Linked DNA regions of Pelodiscus sinensis. The protein of the gene in region 2 interacts with the protein of the main gene of each other region in a pairwise test. Links are inferred from orthologs where the notes say so. Each region holds a gene or a part of one and is shown on either strand. Other genes may lie near its edges.

Evidence for each region. The genes of interacting proteins can lie anywhere in the genome.
Region 1: the proteins of SGTA (region 2) and F11R interact in binary tests that used the Homo sapiens proteins (3 or more experiments, as listed by UniProt). The two-hybrid records come from large-scale screens. The link is inferred for Pelodiscus sinensis from reciprocal best matches to the Homo sapiens genes SGTA and F11R.

Annotation. Positions count from the first base shown.
Region 1 is NC_134734.1:14,059,661-14,067,601, reverse strand, and holds the start of F11R (junctional adhesion molecule A), read right to left. Parts: upstream 3,272-7,941; 5' UTR 3,258-3,271; coding exon 3,143-3,257; intron 1-3,142. UniProt on the Homo sapiens protein: Seems to play a role in epithelial tight junction formation. Appears early in primordial forms of cell junctions and recruits PARD3.
Region 2 is NC_134729.1:17,550,537-17,557,706, reverse strand, and holds the start of SGTA (small glutamine-rich tetratricopeptide repeat-containing protein alpha), read right to left. Parts: upstream 3,330-7,170; 5' UTR 3,173-3,329; intron 1-3,172. Other genes in the region: THOP1 (thimet oligopeptidase), read left to right, coding at 4,806-5,034, 6,592-6,740. UniProt on the Homo sapiens protein: Co-chaperone that binds misfolded and hydrophobic patches-containing client proteins in the cytosol. Mediates their targeting to the endoplasmic reticulum but also regulates their sorting to the proteasome when targeting fails.

The sequences.
Region 1 (7,941 bases), on a different chromosome or scaffold from region 2:
ACTGCTCATTGTTTTGCAGATACCAACTAACACGGCTACTCCTCTGAGGCCTTACTTCAACAGGCAGCTTTGCATATATACACCCACTAATGTCTGATCATAATATACATTGATAATGCAATATATTGTGTTTTTCTAATAAAACAAGTTTTTATCTATTGGAATGATAAAAAGTAGAGTGGGAGTCAGAAAAAAAAGAATAATGCTGTTTGTAAAATCCAGGGCATTTTCAGTAAAAATAGATGTAAACTGAACACAATGGAACTTATGGATGTAGAGCAAATTGACCCTTGAGGGCATGCTGACCTCTGATGGTCATTGCTAGACAGACAAGCTAAAAAAATACAGAATACTTTTCCCTTTGTTACAAGATTTATACATGGATTCCTGAGCTTCACAACACTCGGGTGGTAGAATTGTTACGCTCACCCCTAGTTTATAGACACCACAGAGAGATTAGTTATTTTCGTGATCTGGGGGAAAATATGTGGCAGAACCATGCATTATCATGAGCATTGGACATTTTCAGCCAAGATCAGGGCTGTGAGAGGTTCTCCCATCATTATAGGTGAACTCCCACACTTTCCTTATTAGAAAAGGAAGAATGTGTCCACATCCTTACTATAATGGGGGCTCCAGAACTGGCTGTAACACTCCAGATGTGGCCTCACCAGAGCCGAATAAAGGGGAACAATCACTTCCCTAGATCTACTGGCAATATTCTTCCTAATGCACCCTAATATGCCGTAAGCCTTCTTGGCTATAAGGGCCCACTGTTGTTGACTCATATCCAGCTTCTTATACACAGCATGGAGCCACTGTGTTCTGTTTTATGCCCTTAGTCCATGTGCTTGGACAATGCAAATCCAGGCATATCTGGTGGGCACAGCTGAGTCCCCAGGCAAGGTTGAGCATTTGGCCTGCTGCAGCCTCATTTTATGTCTGGTATTTTCTCAATTTGTTTCCTGGACAGAACCCTCAAATACTGGACTGTCCTGTTCAAAACCAGACTCTTGGCAACCAGGGCCGGCCCCCGGGTGCAGGGCACATGCGCAGGCCCACCCGTGAGGTGTGAGCCCGTCCCCGTCCCCCAGCATGCACGGGCCCGCCCCCGGGGCGCACGGCGCATGTGCTGCCGAGCCCGGCCCAGCCAGTGCTGCTAGCGCACGTGCCGGGCCATGCATGGCCCCGCAGCTGTAGAGGCAAGGGCACTGCTGTCCGGCGCTGCGGGGCCGGCGCTGCAGGAGCCGGGCGCGCGGCTCCTGATGGCAGCTGCAAGGGACACCGCGCGCCCCTTACAGCTGCCATCAGGTGCCCCCCCCCGTGGGTTGGCACCCTGGGCAGCTGCCCGGCTCGCCCATGGCTCTGTCTGGCCCGGTTGGCAACCCTACCTGGTGCTCTGGTGAGCAGCATAACTGGAGCCTGCCTTGGGGCTCTGGAAAGCCAGCATGTGCCATGACTGCAGCCTGCCCTGACCCCAGAGCTTTGGTGGGCAGTGTGGCCCCAGCTTCCCCTGGCCCTGGAGCGCCAGAGTGGAGAGCCAGAACTGGAAGGTGCAGCACCAGCCTCCCTGGGCCGGGCATGCTGGCCAGATCCCTGACCAGGAAACAACTCCCCTCCTCGCAGCTGATCCACCAGCCCCAGCACTGGGAAGACAGGCAGCATGGCCCCAAGCCTCTGGTACCCAACAGCAGGCTTGCTTGCCAGCCTTTAGAATCATAGGAGCCTAGGGCTGGAAGAGACCTCTGGAAATCATGAGTCCAGCCCCCAGCCCAAAGCAGGACCAACCCCATTGTGCACCCTTTGCATCGCTTCCCTTTGCTTTCTCTCCAGACTGCCCCTGCCTTGGAAGCACGCAGACCGAAATGCCAGGCTCCAGGTGCAGCCACCTCCAGAGTGGTGGACGAGGTGCCTCCCTCCTCCCTCCTCTGCACACACAGCCTGAAGTCACACTGGTCTCTTACTCTCCTACCCTGCGGTAAAGCCAGGTCTGATTTGATACGCCGGAGCTCAGTGTGGGAGCCAAATGTTCCTAACCCTAAAGCATAGCCTGGCAGAGTAGCCTTCAGTTCTGTGCAAGCAAAGCAAGAGACCGCCTGAAGACACTTCCTTCTGCACTCAATGGGGGGGGGGGCCTGGGAGTGACAAGGTGTTCGAAATCTCTGAGTGAGAGGCTATTTGGCAACACTCCAGAATTCTACAACTTCCTGTATCTGCGCTAGAGGAAGTTCACCGCACCGGTCACCCATGAACCACCTGAGCCTCGCTTCAGCTTGAGGCTTTGGAGGGAGGTGGAAAACCCTTGCAACTTGAAAAGGGGCTGAAATAAAAAACCATGTAAAGGTTTCTGAGGCCTGAATATTCCCCTGTCTCGGTGCCCTCCCCCAATGCCCTCAACATCTGCTTCCGAGCTGCACGGCCGAAGAACAGCAGCCAAGCTAAGCCAGAGCTGGGGGCGAATGTGCCCGCAACAAAGGGGAAAAAGTATCCTGTACAGAGAAGCTACTTGTCACACAGGCTGACAAGAGCTTTCCAGCCCAGCTGTCTGTGTGGTTCAGGCAAATAGCGTGGAATAATGTATCAGTCCGAAATGCTGTCACACCTTCTGTGAATGCCTTCCTATACAAAGTTAACCAGGCAGCTGGGGGTGTGGCAGAAAGGGACACCGTAAAAGCTAATCTGCTCTATACAGTCACATGGGCTCCACCGAAACATTGCATACGCTTCCTCCTCTGCAACACGGCTCCTTTGTATTAAGGGTTTTTTCTTGCCTTCGGGGCTCAGATCCTGCTCAAGGAGAATGGAGGAGTAAATGTTCTGCATAGCGCCAAACTAGCACAGAGAAGCAGGCCAGGTAACTCTAACAAACAGAAAGCTAACTGTTTTACAAGGCATTTCAGCTGCTCAGTATGTGTGTTGCTGCAGGAACAGTGTCTGCTACAGCGTCTGCTACAGCGTCTCCCCAGGGACTGGGCATTAGCAGCCGTCTTAAATTTTATTTGTGTCGCTTGAAAAGGAGCTGAAATAAAAAACCATGTTAAGGTCGAGAAAGAGAAGAAGCCTCTGTGAAAATTAAGAAACTGATCAAAAAAGAGAATGTGATGGGGTGCAGTCACAGACAACCCGCCGGGGGTGCTCCTACCTTGTGGTCCTGTGAGAATAATTGTAGGGTTCACCCTGGAGTATTCAGCTGTCAGGAGAAACAGGTAGCTGGTCCATGGGACAGAAAGATAGGCAGCGTGCGAGTTCAGACCCATCTCCAAGGAACAGCTCAGCAGCATACTTCTGCAAGGATAACGCAGAAGTTAAATATGGCAAGTGGGCGGGCTTATGCATCTCTCTAGCCAATCGGAAGAGTTTAGTTTGTTCACTAGCTTGCAGCCTCAAACTGTTACTTCAACTGAGGAAAAGGGTTTTAAGAGCAGGCCCCCAGAATCGTAAGATTGTCTTAAAAACTGGGAGCTTCAGAATAGAACACAGGGGTGATTTTTCTCTTGGCTGTCTAGCAGGAGCGGCCTGAAGCCGGCTGCAGCAGCTGGCGCCTCAGGCGGAATGCACGATTGGTGCCCCCGCCTGCAGGGCCGTCAATGGACTGACATCATCGGCGGGCACCCCTGTGATGTCATCATCGGGTGCCCTGGGCGACGGCGCCCTACGTGGCGGCCAAGTCCGCCAATAGCCACGGGCTGCTCCTGCTGTCTAGCCTCAGGACAGGGGTAAAAGGATCCCAGAATCACGCAGCTTCTAAGCTACTGACTGTGCATGGGCTTAGAGCTAGGCATAGCTGCAGAGGCACAGTTATCTTGCATGGCTGTTTGGAAGGGGAAACTGAGGCACCCTGCCTCACAGCAATGGTGACTAAATACAAAGACGTGCATATGGATAGGCGGTGCTATCTACATTCTGGGGGGGGGGGCACTGCTATACCCCCACGTGTTTTGGATCATCGGGGGAGATCACTGGGTTACATGAAATAATTTGTTCAAAGCACCTTTGAGTTATGTATATTCATGTCCATTAGTCCATTTCGTAAAGCATGGAGCGGTGTCTGTCACACCTTCCCCCTGAAATCGCTGTCAGAGGGTTGGACAGTGTCCAATGCGAAGGCAGTGTATCCAGAAGTCCACCGGGGCTTTGGCTGCTCAGCCATCTAGTGCCACCAAATCTTGTGCTGTCATTCCTTGCAGTTCTTCCAAAGTTGTAGGTTCCTGTCTCCCGACTTGGATTTATGGAGGGGGGCACAACAGGACTTGGGAGCGAGTTTGCTGGCTGCTTTTGGGAATAGTGCAGGGCCAGGGCAGGGGTGAGCCTGCCTTAGCCCCACTGCACTGCCACCCAAAAGCCCCCTGAGGTAAAGAGTGCCCAGCTAGTGCCCACCTCCTGAAACCCTACCCCAGTCATGAACCCCCTCCTGTACCCCAAATCCCTGCCCTAGCCCTGAGCACTCCTGCATCCAAACACCCTCCCAGAGACTGCACCTAGAACTCCCTCCGGCATCCCAACTGCCTGCCCCAAGTTCAGCTCTGAGCCTCTCTCATTCTATATCCCTTAATCCAGGGGCTCTCAAAATGTGGGTCCCAAGTCCCCAGGGGTTCACGAGCAACTTAAGGGGGGTTGTGGCATCACAAAATTTGAGAACTTCTGCCTTAAACCAAGACCAGAGTCTGCACCCCGACCTTCTGCCCCTACCTGGTAAAAGTGAGGGAAGGTCGGGGAGGGAGGGAGGATGGCGTGAGCAGGGGCGCAGGGCCGCAGAGAAGGGGCATGAAGGAGGCAGGGCAAGGGTATTTATATTTGAGGTAGATCTTGGATTGCACTTAAATTCAAAAAGTGATCTCGTGCTTAAAAAGGTTGGAGACCCCTGCATTAGACTATCCTGCCTCTCCCGAGACAGACCATTGCTGACTTTTGTGACTTACTGTGAGCCTTGCAGCAGTGGGAATGAAAAGCCCTATGCACAGAAGTTAGGGGAATACACCAAAATTTCAGCTTTCATTTACAAAATAGCACGTTTCTATTCCTTGTGGTTGCAGAGAAAGAGGCTATAAACAGGAGCCCCAAAGGCTAGACAGCCAAGAGAAAAATCGTCCTTGTATTCTATTCTGAAGATCAATTTTTAAAGACAATCTTACGATTTTGGAGGCCTGCTCTTAAATCTCTTTTCCCCAGTTGGGGTAACAGTTTGAGGCTGGAAGCCAGTGAATAAACTAAACTCTTCCGATTGGCTAGAGAGATGCATAGGCCCACCCACTTGACATATTTAAGTGCTGTGCTATCCTTGCAGAGCTATGCTGCTGAGCTGTGCCTTGGAAATGGGTCTGAACTTGCACTCTGCCTAGCTTTCTGTCCTATGGACCAACTACCTGTTTCTCCTGACAGCTGGGTACTCCGGGGTAAGCCCTAGAATTATTCTCACCCATGACAGTGTCGCAACAAGCAGGGTAAGTGTGCACATCTGGTTGCTTGTAGTGATTTTAAGTGGGTTCTAAGTGTGGTTATTGGAAGGCAGACAAAGTGGTTGCTGGTTTGTTATTTTTTGTTTGCTCATTTTGGGCAAGGGAAATAGAGTGAGATGCAGAAGGAATGGGAACTGTACAGAATCCGGGAAGCAGCCAGGGAGGTGGAACACAAGACACTGGTGGAGTTAAAGCAGCATGAGATAGAAGCCATAAAAGCCCAAGCTGCCCATGAGGAAGCTCTAAAACTAATACGACTTGGAATGGACGGAGAAGGAAGAGCTCACAGAGTACTTTGCACCATTGATTCAGGGTGCTGACTGCTGTAATGTGGCTGTGTCCATTCCAGGGATTGTTAGCTGGGGGTAAGGAATCTGTTGCTGAAATCCCAGAGGGAGAGATAAATGCCACAGGGGCTGGGGAGGGGGCAAGAGAGAGTCTCTTTGATTCTCCTCCAGCTGAGCTGGACAATTTGCGGGGAGGGGTGAAGGAAGCCTGCACTAACCCTGAGTCATTGCCCAGTGTCAGTGGGTCTGCCCAGGCTGTGGTATGCCCAGGAAGGGCATGGGAACAGCAGGATGCAGGTCCAACCCCAGGTGACAGAGGTGTATGTCTTGGAGCAGAGCATTCACACAGAGCCTGGAGACCAAACGGCTGCTGAGGAATCCAGGGGCCTGGCTCCTGAGAGTTTACCCCATGAGGAAATGGAAGACTGCAGGGCTTCCCAAGGAAGGGTCTGTCATGGCTGGGAGCTGTGTGCCTGCAGCTGGACAGGTGGCAGATGGTCTGGATGAGGGAGGACAAGATGGGTCCTCCATCTTTGATGGGGGGCTGTTACCTGCATACATTTCTCTATCCCTTCCACACTGTAGGGACACACCCCTGTTGTACCAATAAAAGCAAGCAGGATCTTATGGGGGGAGGGATAAGGCAAAAAGCCACATTTATTGTAAAGATGATAATAATAATATATATAACATTCATTCAGGTTATAGTTACCAGCCTGGAAGTTGCTTGTGACAGAATACTGGCCAGGTATTCTGTACACAAGTGATGGGAGTGGGGAGTGAAGTCCTGATCAGAAGTGCATCTGAAGCTCCTGGTGGGCTGGCAGCAGAATTTTGGACTCTGACTCCATAGTCTTTTAGTCCAGTTCTTATAGGAATTTCTTCCTATGCCAGTCCATGGGAATTGCTGCATCATGCTGATGTCCAGGGTGGCTGTCAGGTGCTTGTCAGTGATCTCATAGGGTGGACCTCCAGTACTTGGTTTTCTCCACTTGACACCTTTTGGTTGCACTGGCACCTGATGCCTTCTTCAGCCCTTTGTTGCTGCATTCTCAGGCTGGCACCTCTCAAAACCATTCATTCATCCTCCAAGCACACTCTCTCTTACATACATTCCCTAATTAATGTTTCACATACAGTATTTTGTATAATAATAATTTTACATATGCAAGAGTTGTAGTTACAAAAAGTCACAAAAGCTTCTGGGTGGCATTTCTTAAAACATTCTCTCTGAGTGCTGAGTTAGTTACTGTTATAGTTACAACAATGTTTCACTTTTGCGATTAGGGTTAATTGCTTCACAATGCTTCGAAGAGAACAGGCGTCAATTGTGTAACAATGCCCTTAGTCAATTACAGGGCTTGGCTCCCAGAGCAGTTAGTGGCTTGACAATGCATTGTTACAATGTATCCCTGCAATGTCAATTTCAAGCAGCCCCTTGCAAAAGCTTGAGCATGCCCTGGGACACAGAGGGGAGCTGTTTCTCGCTACATAGTAATAAATCTAAACATTTAACAATCTTAACAAATAATAATAATAAATCTAAACACTCATCAAGCCTGATAACGCTAAATCTAAACACTTTAACAAGAATAAATCTAAACACTTATATGCTTCTACTTAACAAACTTATGCTACTTAGACTTTAAGTTGTGGGGAACAAATTATGGGGAGTCACTTCCACTTGGGGGAATCATTTTTAATACTTTAATATGTTATCCCTATACTCCCACCCTTCCCCAATTCCTAGGGCTCAGGGTGTAACTTCCCATGGGTTGGCAGGATCTTTAGCCAATGAAAGAGCATCACACACTAATATTCTTATCCTCTATTTATTGACAAATCTCAAACAAGCAGAAAACACATGCTAAGCAATCCTGGTACAGGCAGACTTCCTCCAGGCAAGGTCAGTCTCTCTGCATCTTAGCTGCTGCATGTTACAGTCGTGCAGCAGAAGCCTGGCAGCTCTGTTCTTAGGCTGTGTCTTGGAGGGGAGTAGTTCTTCCAGGTCTTCCCCTTTCTTCTTGGTGTTTCTTGTTTCCCTTTGGTCTTCTTCCAACCTCTTGCTTCTTTCCTCCTGCTTCTATTACTTTTTGGACCTCAGTTAATATAATTAAACCAGAGTCCTGCTTAGTTATTCCATAACCAATTTTTTAGTATAATTTTACTAGCCAATCATACCCCACCACCTTAATTGA
Region 2 (7,170 bases):
GGGAGGGAAACCAGCTTTTAAGCTGGCTCCCCACAACACCGACTCCTGCTCCCCTCAGTTGCTGCCTCTCTCTGATAGAGGCAGCAAGTGGGGGAAGCAACTAGTCACATCACTAATCAACTATCCAATAACCATAAGCTTGTCGATTAGTTGCTTACATCCCTACTCTGAGCTCCCTTCTGCACCCAACCTCCACCCCAGACTTACTCCATAGAAAAGTGCGGCCCTTGACCACTTACCAAAATCATGGCGTGCCCCTCCCCTATCAAAAATTATTGCCCACCTGTGGCCTAGGCAGAAGACACTTGACAATCTAGCCCGACCCCTGCTCGGTACACATACGACCATTTCAGAGATGGGAAACTGCGCGCAAGAGGCAGAATCCTTTGCCCAACATTAATATCAGAGCTGGAAATAATTCAGGAAGACCGCACTGGGAGTCATGTGCCAGTCCACTATCACACTTCCCACCATGCCCTGGATATCGCTGGCTCTTATACTTCTCGACCCGGTTAACAATAAAAGACTTAGTTCAGCGTTAGAAGAAGTTCTGCACAGATGATCAGGCAGTTAGCGTGGGAGCAGAGAAAGATTCAATTTAACTTTGCAGAGTCTAAATTTAAATAAGATGCCAGAAAAAAACAACAGTCACCTGCAAAAGTAACCCTGCTAAGCACCAAGCAGAGCAGAGTGGGACAAGTTGATCTCCAAAGTGGGAAGAAAATAGGTGAAAGTTTCATGTCAAACTCATGACTTGGGGTCACACCCGTCAATGACAACTAACACCAGGAACGGTTAACGTAACATTTAACCAACTAAGCAGGATCCTGGGTGGGGGAAATCGCTCTAGCCCAGCTAAAGCAGCCTCCAGCCTGCAGGGCTCCTGCTCCCAGTCCCTGCCACCCCACCCCCGTTGGGGCCAGGTGGGGCTGGAGCAGCCCTTCTCCCATGGGCTGCTCCCTGGGAACTGGTTCACCAGTTACCTGTTCACATCCCTACCAGCAACCAAAGTCCCCTATCCACTAAAGACAGACAAAGCATGTGCAGCAACAGGACAGGTTTCCCCATGTGCTTTCCCTCCCCCCGGCAATGAACGTTAACCCTTACCTATTTTAAGTAGAAATCCACCTATAATTGAATAACTTAATCAATCAGTAAGATACTTATACCCATTGGCAAGTCTACTTGCTCCTCAGCACAGAGGAAGTCTGCTCAGCCTCGCACTGAATGGAATTAAATGATAGCACATCCAGAGACATTAAATAAATCAGCTTTGTTAACTAAAGCAGAGGTTCTCAGACTTCACTGCATGGCAACAATAAGTACTACATGATCTCAGGAGTGGGGAACCCAAATTTAAGCCCACCTTAATGGACAAAGCTTTCTGGGTAACAGTTATCTGTTGCCTGGGAGCAGGCCAGGGCCTGTCACAGGTGAAGGGCTGGCTGCCGGCTCCCAGCCCACGGGGGCCAGCATGGGGTGGAAGCAACCAGCCTGACACAGCCCCTACCCATGGGCCGCTCCAGCCCGCCCACCCCCATTTAATCAGTTAACAGTTAAGCTTAACATTTAACTGGTTAACGAATTAAAAAGGATTTTGCATCCTTACACTAAACTTCAGGAAAGTTTCAAATCCTACTTCTGCTTTTTCATACAGAATAGCCCCCCCTGCTTTTACTGAACTATGAGAACATATAATGCTATCACCAGTGCCCAGAAACTCCCGCAGGATATACTTTTTTTCCCAGAGACCCTCTCTACACTATAGGCTTCTGCCAGCATAGCCATGTTAGACAGAGGTGTGATCCTTGACTAACCAGTGTCCTGGAAGAAGCCCTTAAGGCAGATACTTGAAGTAACTGCATGCTTACCGGTTTTGTCCGAGTGTGAGTGGAATAAGCTAGACCAGTATAAACTGCATCACACTGGCAGCACATTGCTGGTATAGTATACCGGTATCCATACACCAGTAAGGCACTCTTAGCTTAGACATGGCTAAAACAGGTGTGGGGAACCTGTTTCGGGTCAGAGGCTGCTGATGCACAGAAAAATCAGTTGAGGGCCACACACAAGTGAAAAGCAAAGAAAAAAACAAAAAACAAAAATTGATTGAGGAGAAAGACATTCCCCACATTCCTCTCCCACACTAGAGTTTAGGGGGGCCTGGCTAGCAGATTTTGTGTGCTCCAGTCCTGTAGGGCAATGGCGGGGGAGCTGCAGTGCCAGCATGAGTTCCCCAATGTTGGGGGGAGCCCTGAGGGTTGGATCCAAACAAGCTGGAGGCTGCCTCCGGCCCCCAGGCACGAGATTCCCCACCCCAGCTGAAAAGCTCACTCATCATTTTTGACAGGAGACGAAAAACCCATCAGACCTTCCACCGTCACTTTTGCTTTCAAGTTAACAGACCCAGCTGCCAGCTGCTATTTAAACCCCAAATAAAGCAAAGTCCAGGCCAGCAGCCACCTTCCTGAAAGAGCTTTTATTGGAAACAGTCACCCCAAGCCAGTTTCAACAATCAGCATAGCCCCTGCTTGCCCCCCAGCCCCCAAACCCCGCCCCCCCAGCCCCCAAACCCCGCCCCCCAGCCAGCCCCCAACCCCCCCCAGCCCCCAAACCCCGCCCCCCAGCCAGCCCCCAACCCCCCCCAGCCCCCAAACCCCGCCCCCCAGCCAGCCCCCAACCCCAGCCAGCCCCCAAACCCCGCCCCCCAGCCAGCCCCCAAACCCCGCCCCCCAGCCAGCCCCCAAACCCCGCCCCCAACCCCCCCAGCCCCCAAACCCCGCCCCCCAGCCAGCCCCCAACCCCCCCCAGCCCCCAAACCCCGCCCCCCCAGCCAGCCCCCAACCCCCCGCCAGCCCCCAAACCCCGCTCCCCCCAGCCAGCCCCCAACGCCCCCAACCCCCCCAGCCCCCAGCCAGCCCCCCCAGCCAGCCCCCAACCCCCAAATCCCGCCCCCCCAGCCAGCCCCCAACCCCCCGCCAGCCCCCAAACCCCCCTCCCCCCAGCCAGCCCCCAACCCCCCGCCAGCCCCCAAACCCCCCTCCCCCCAGCCAGCCCCCAACCCCCCTCCCCCCAGCCAGGCCCCCAGCCCCCCGGGCCAGGGCCCAGCCAAGCGCCCCAGAGACAAGGGGGGGGCGGAGACTGAGCCCCCCCGCGGGCCCCGGCTACTCACCAGGCGCCTCCGAGCTGCGTTCAGCCCCTTCACCGCCAGGCGCACGCTGCGCACGCGCGCTAGCCCCTCCCCCTTACTGCGCAGGCGCCAAGGCTTCGGCGGCGCCGCCCTCCATCCCCACACTTCCGCCGCTCGCAGCGACTCACGCGCCCAGCAGCGGGTCCGCCCATGCCAGCCAGCGAGCATGCGCAACAGGCCTCCCCTTCCGCCCCCGCCAGACGGAAGCGGAAATACGCCATGGGGGCGGGTGAACCAATGCATTGTGGGATCGCTCAGGCAGGGCCCCTCTTCCCCGCGATTGACCATAGAGACGTAGCGCGGGAGGGGGCGCTAAGGCAGCTCCCCCCGCCCCCGGCTGGCCCCGCGCAGTCCTCCACCCTCCCAGAATCCTTCGCGCTGCCTCCTTCTCTCCTCCCCGCCGCCCCCCCCGGCCCGCGTGCTCGGGGCTGAGCGTCAGTGGCTGCGGCGCCTCCTCCCGCCCCCCCATGGCGCCCCCCACAGGTACCGCCCGGCTGGCGCGTGTGGGGCGGGGAGGGGATATTTGGGGGTGGCAGTGGGGGTGGGGTGATGGGGGGAGGGGATATTTTGGGGGTGGGGGTGGGGTGATGGGGGGAGGGGATATTTGGGGTGGCAGTGGGGGTGGGGTGATGGGGGGAGGGGATATTTTGGGGGTGGCAGTGGGGGGGAGGGGATATTTTGGGGGTGGGGGTGGGGTGATGGGGGGAGGGGATATTTTGGGGGTGGCAGTGGGGGGGAGGGGATATTTTGGGGGTGGGGGTGGGGTGATGGGGGGAGGGGATATTTAGGGGATGGCAATGGAGGGCTGAAGGGGTACTGGGGGAGGGTATATTTAGGGGGTGGCAGTGGGGGCGGGGTGATGGGGCAGTGAGTGGATAGGGAGGTGGGATATCTAGGAAGGGGGCAAAGTCTAGAGTGGGGAGTAGGGCGGGGGCATGGGAAGACGATGTGGAGTTGGGGGGCAGTGTGGGATGGAGGAGGAGGGAGGGGTGGGGAGAGCAGGTAACTCTTACGTGTGTTGGAGACAGTGCTTGGGGAGGTGGGGCAGGATGCATGACTGGGGGAATGGGGATAGGAAGGTGGGGGCAGGGTGCATGACCCTTAAATATCCCCCTACAAGCAAGAAGAGGTTCCTCCCCAGGTTTGCAAAGCTCTGCCAAGCCGGAATGAGTCTCAGAGAGAAAGCTCACCAGCATGGAGTTACTCCCAGCACCGGGAGGGTGGCAGCTCTGCTGCTGGGTCTGCTGCAGTCACTTGTCTTCTCATTAAGCCTATGCTGAGTGTTGCCTTCCCAACATCTGCCTCCTCCTGCACCAGTTCTCTGGGTTCTTTGTGTGTTACTTCCCCCACCCCGAAACCAGTGTTGCAAGGTTCTGCCACACATCTCTGCCAGCCCTTCTGCAATAGCAAACCTGATCTAGGGCAAGCTAATTAAGGAATCAAGTTTTACCCAGGAGTTGCCATACATAGGAGGCATAAAGTGTTGCAACTGTTCTTTTTACTCTTTGGTTCAAACAGATCAGGTTCTCTTCTGAGCTCTGCGGTATTTGCCGTACCTGTCTCTTGAGTCCCTGTGAGTTAGTTCTCCACCCTCTTCTAGGGCAATATCTGAGAGATGGATCTCTTTCCAACCTATTCAGGTAACGTTGTGGACAGCCAGTCCCACAGACTCCCAGTGAATCGGCTAAGATGGGACCTGACAGCAGAGCAAATAGAAAACATGACCGTGGAGCTCCTAGAGAAGACCAAGCAAGTATACGACCACGTGGGCTCCCAGGAGCAGGGGGAGGTCTCCTATGAAAATACTCTCAAAATTCTAGCTGATGTGGAAGTGGAGTATACAGGTATGTGGACAAACAGGATTTGGCTGTTTCTGGAACCCTTCTAGCTTTTGTTAGTCGCTGAGTGGTTTTTAGATCGTGTGCGTCTCTGGTCAACTGAATCATTGGCTTTTCCTTGTGTAACTCCATTAGCCTGTCTTACCTGGAGGAAATGTAGGGTTTCTACACAAGCGTGTAACTTGGAGAAATAGGATGAAATTGGATGGGCAGGGATCCAACTGCTGTGCTCAGTGCCTCTGGGCAAGATGGCTGGCAGGAAGCCCCCGGAGGGGCAGGACCTCACACGGAGGGGGCAGAGCTGGGGGCGGCCAGCCCTCCATGCTGCCTGGACCACAGTGCTCCTCCCCCCCCCCCCATTTCCCCAGCACTGCCTGGATTCTGTGGTGCCCCGACCTCCCAGGCAGCCCTGAGAGCTGCCTAGAGCACAGTACTCCAAACGGTGATTTAAGGGGCTCCAGGCAGCAATTTAAAGGGCTCCTTTGAATCACTAGATCCCAAAGCATCTGCCTCCTTTGTTTCCCACCACCCCCAGTCTGTGGATGGGGAAACAAAGAATGTCGGGAAAAATTGGCCCATTGGTGACTTCGGCAATGGGATGGTTTCCAAGCTGGAAGCCCCGCTAGTTGTGATTTTAAAAAACAACATTTAAGACGTTGAAGTTGCCAATTGCTTCAGTATCTGGACAAAAGGCTAGGCGATGTGCTGTAGGGATCAGCCATGTGTTGGCAGAGAGATGACTGGGTGACGAGCAATATTCCCTCTAATCTTTTCCGGCCACGTGTGCATTTTTTTCCAGCCATGTGCGGAATACATTTTTATGCACGCTGGGGCGTGTGCGAATGTGTACCCCCCATAGAAACACAAACCTAGCTGTGGGCAACCTGCTAATGAGCTGGGCAAGATTTGAACCTCTCCCCAGCTTGCACACTGATGACCAGTCTGGGCTTTTCCAGCTGTAACTTCTATGATCGGGTGTGGGAGGAGCAGGCATGTGTGTGTCTGGTTCCTTTTCCTGTGCAAACAATTTATTTCTCTTTACGACTCCAGCTAAAATGCTCTGAAAAAGTAACACCATGTTTGTAAAGGAAGCTGGCCCAGAGGGTAACACCTGTTTTCTGTGGTGCATAAATCCTACAACAGTATCTTTTCCTCAGTCTGATCACTAGGAGTGTGTCTAGACTACAGGGTTTTGTCGACAAAAGTGGACTTTTGTCAACAAAACTATAGAGGGAACATTGGTCTCAGGCCATTTTGTAAGGGACAGGTGTTATCAATGGTATTGCTAAATAGAGCTGTAGGGTTGTGAGATCCTATCCGGAGCAGCAAGAACTTGCAGTGTAGAGTTGACCGGCAGATCTGACTCCAGGACCTGTGGATGATGGAGCTCAGTGCTAGAGAGGGTTGTTTCAGGTTGGGTGTGGGGCATGTCGGTGGGAGTGGCTTGCCTTGCCCCCGCCGATTGGGTGCATGTCAGGCTCCGGGTTGTGAAACTGCCGCCTACTTCCTTCCCTAACCTGGCGGCTCCAGCTATAGTCTGAGCTCCTGGCTTTGTCGTTGCAGTTCAGAGGAACATGCTGGACTTCCCCCAGCACGTCTCCCCTCACAAAGATATCCGCACGGCGAGCACGGAGGCGGACAAAAAGCTCTCGGAGTTCGATGTGGAGATGAGCATGAGGCAGGACGTGTACCAGAGGATCGTCTGGCTCCAGGTTCGGCTGGGGAGGGGTAACCGGCGTGGCTCAGTGCTGAGAAGATGGCAGGTCCAGCATCCCAACAGGGAGTGTCTGCGGGCCTCCCTGTAATTTCCATGAGTGCCTCTCCCTACCACCTTTCCTGTTCAGTTGAGAGCTAAATTACAACACGAAGGCAATGTTGTCTAGTAGTTAGAGCAAGGGACTGGGGATTCGGGGCTTCTGGGATGCAGTCTCACCTCTGGCTCGCTGTGTGACCATGAGCACATCCTGTCCTTGTGTGCCTCAGTTTCCTTCTGGGATCCAATCTCAGACCAGCTGTGTGACTGTGAGCCAGTCCTGTCCCTTTGTGCCTCAGTTTCCCCCTCTGTAAAAGGAGGCTGGTGACATTGCCCTACATCCCATAGAGGCCCGACATCGGCTAGCAATTTGGGATGGGCTTTGAGAC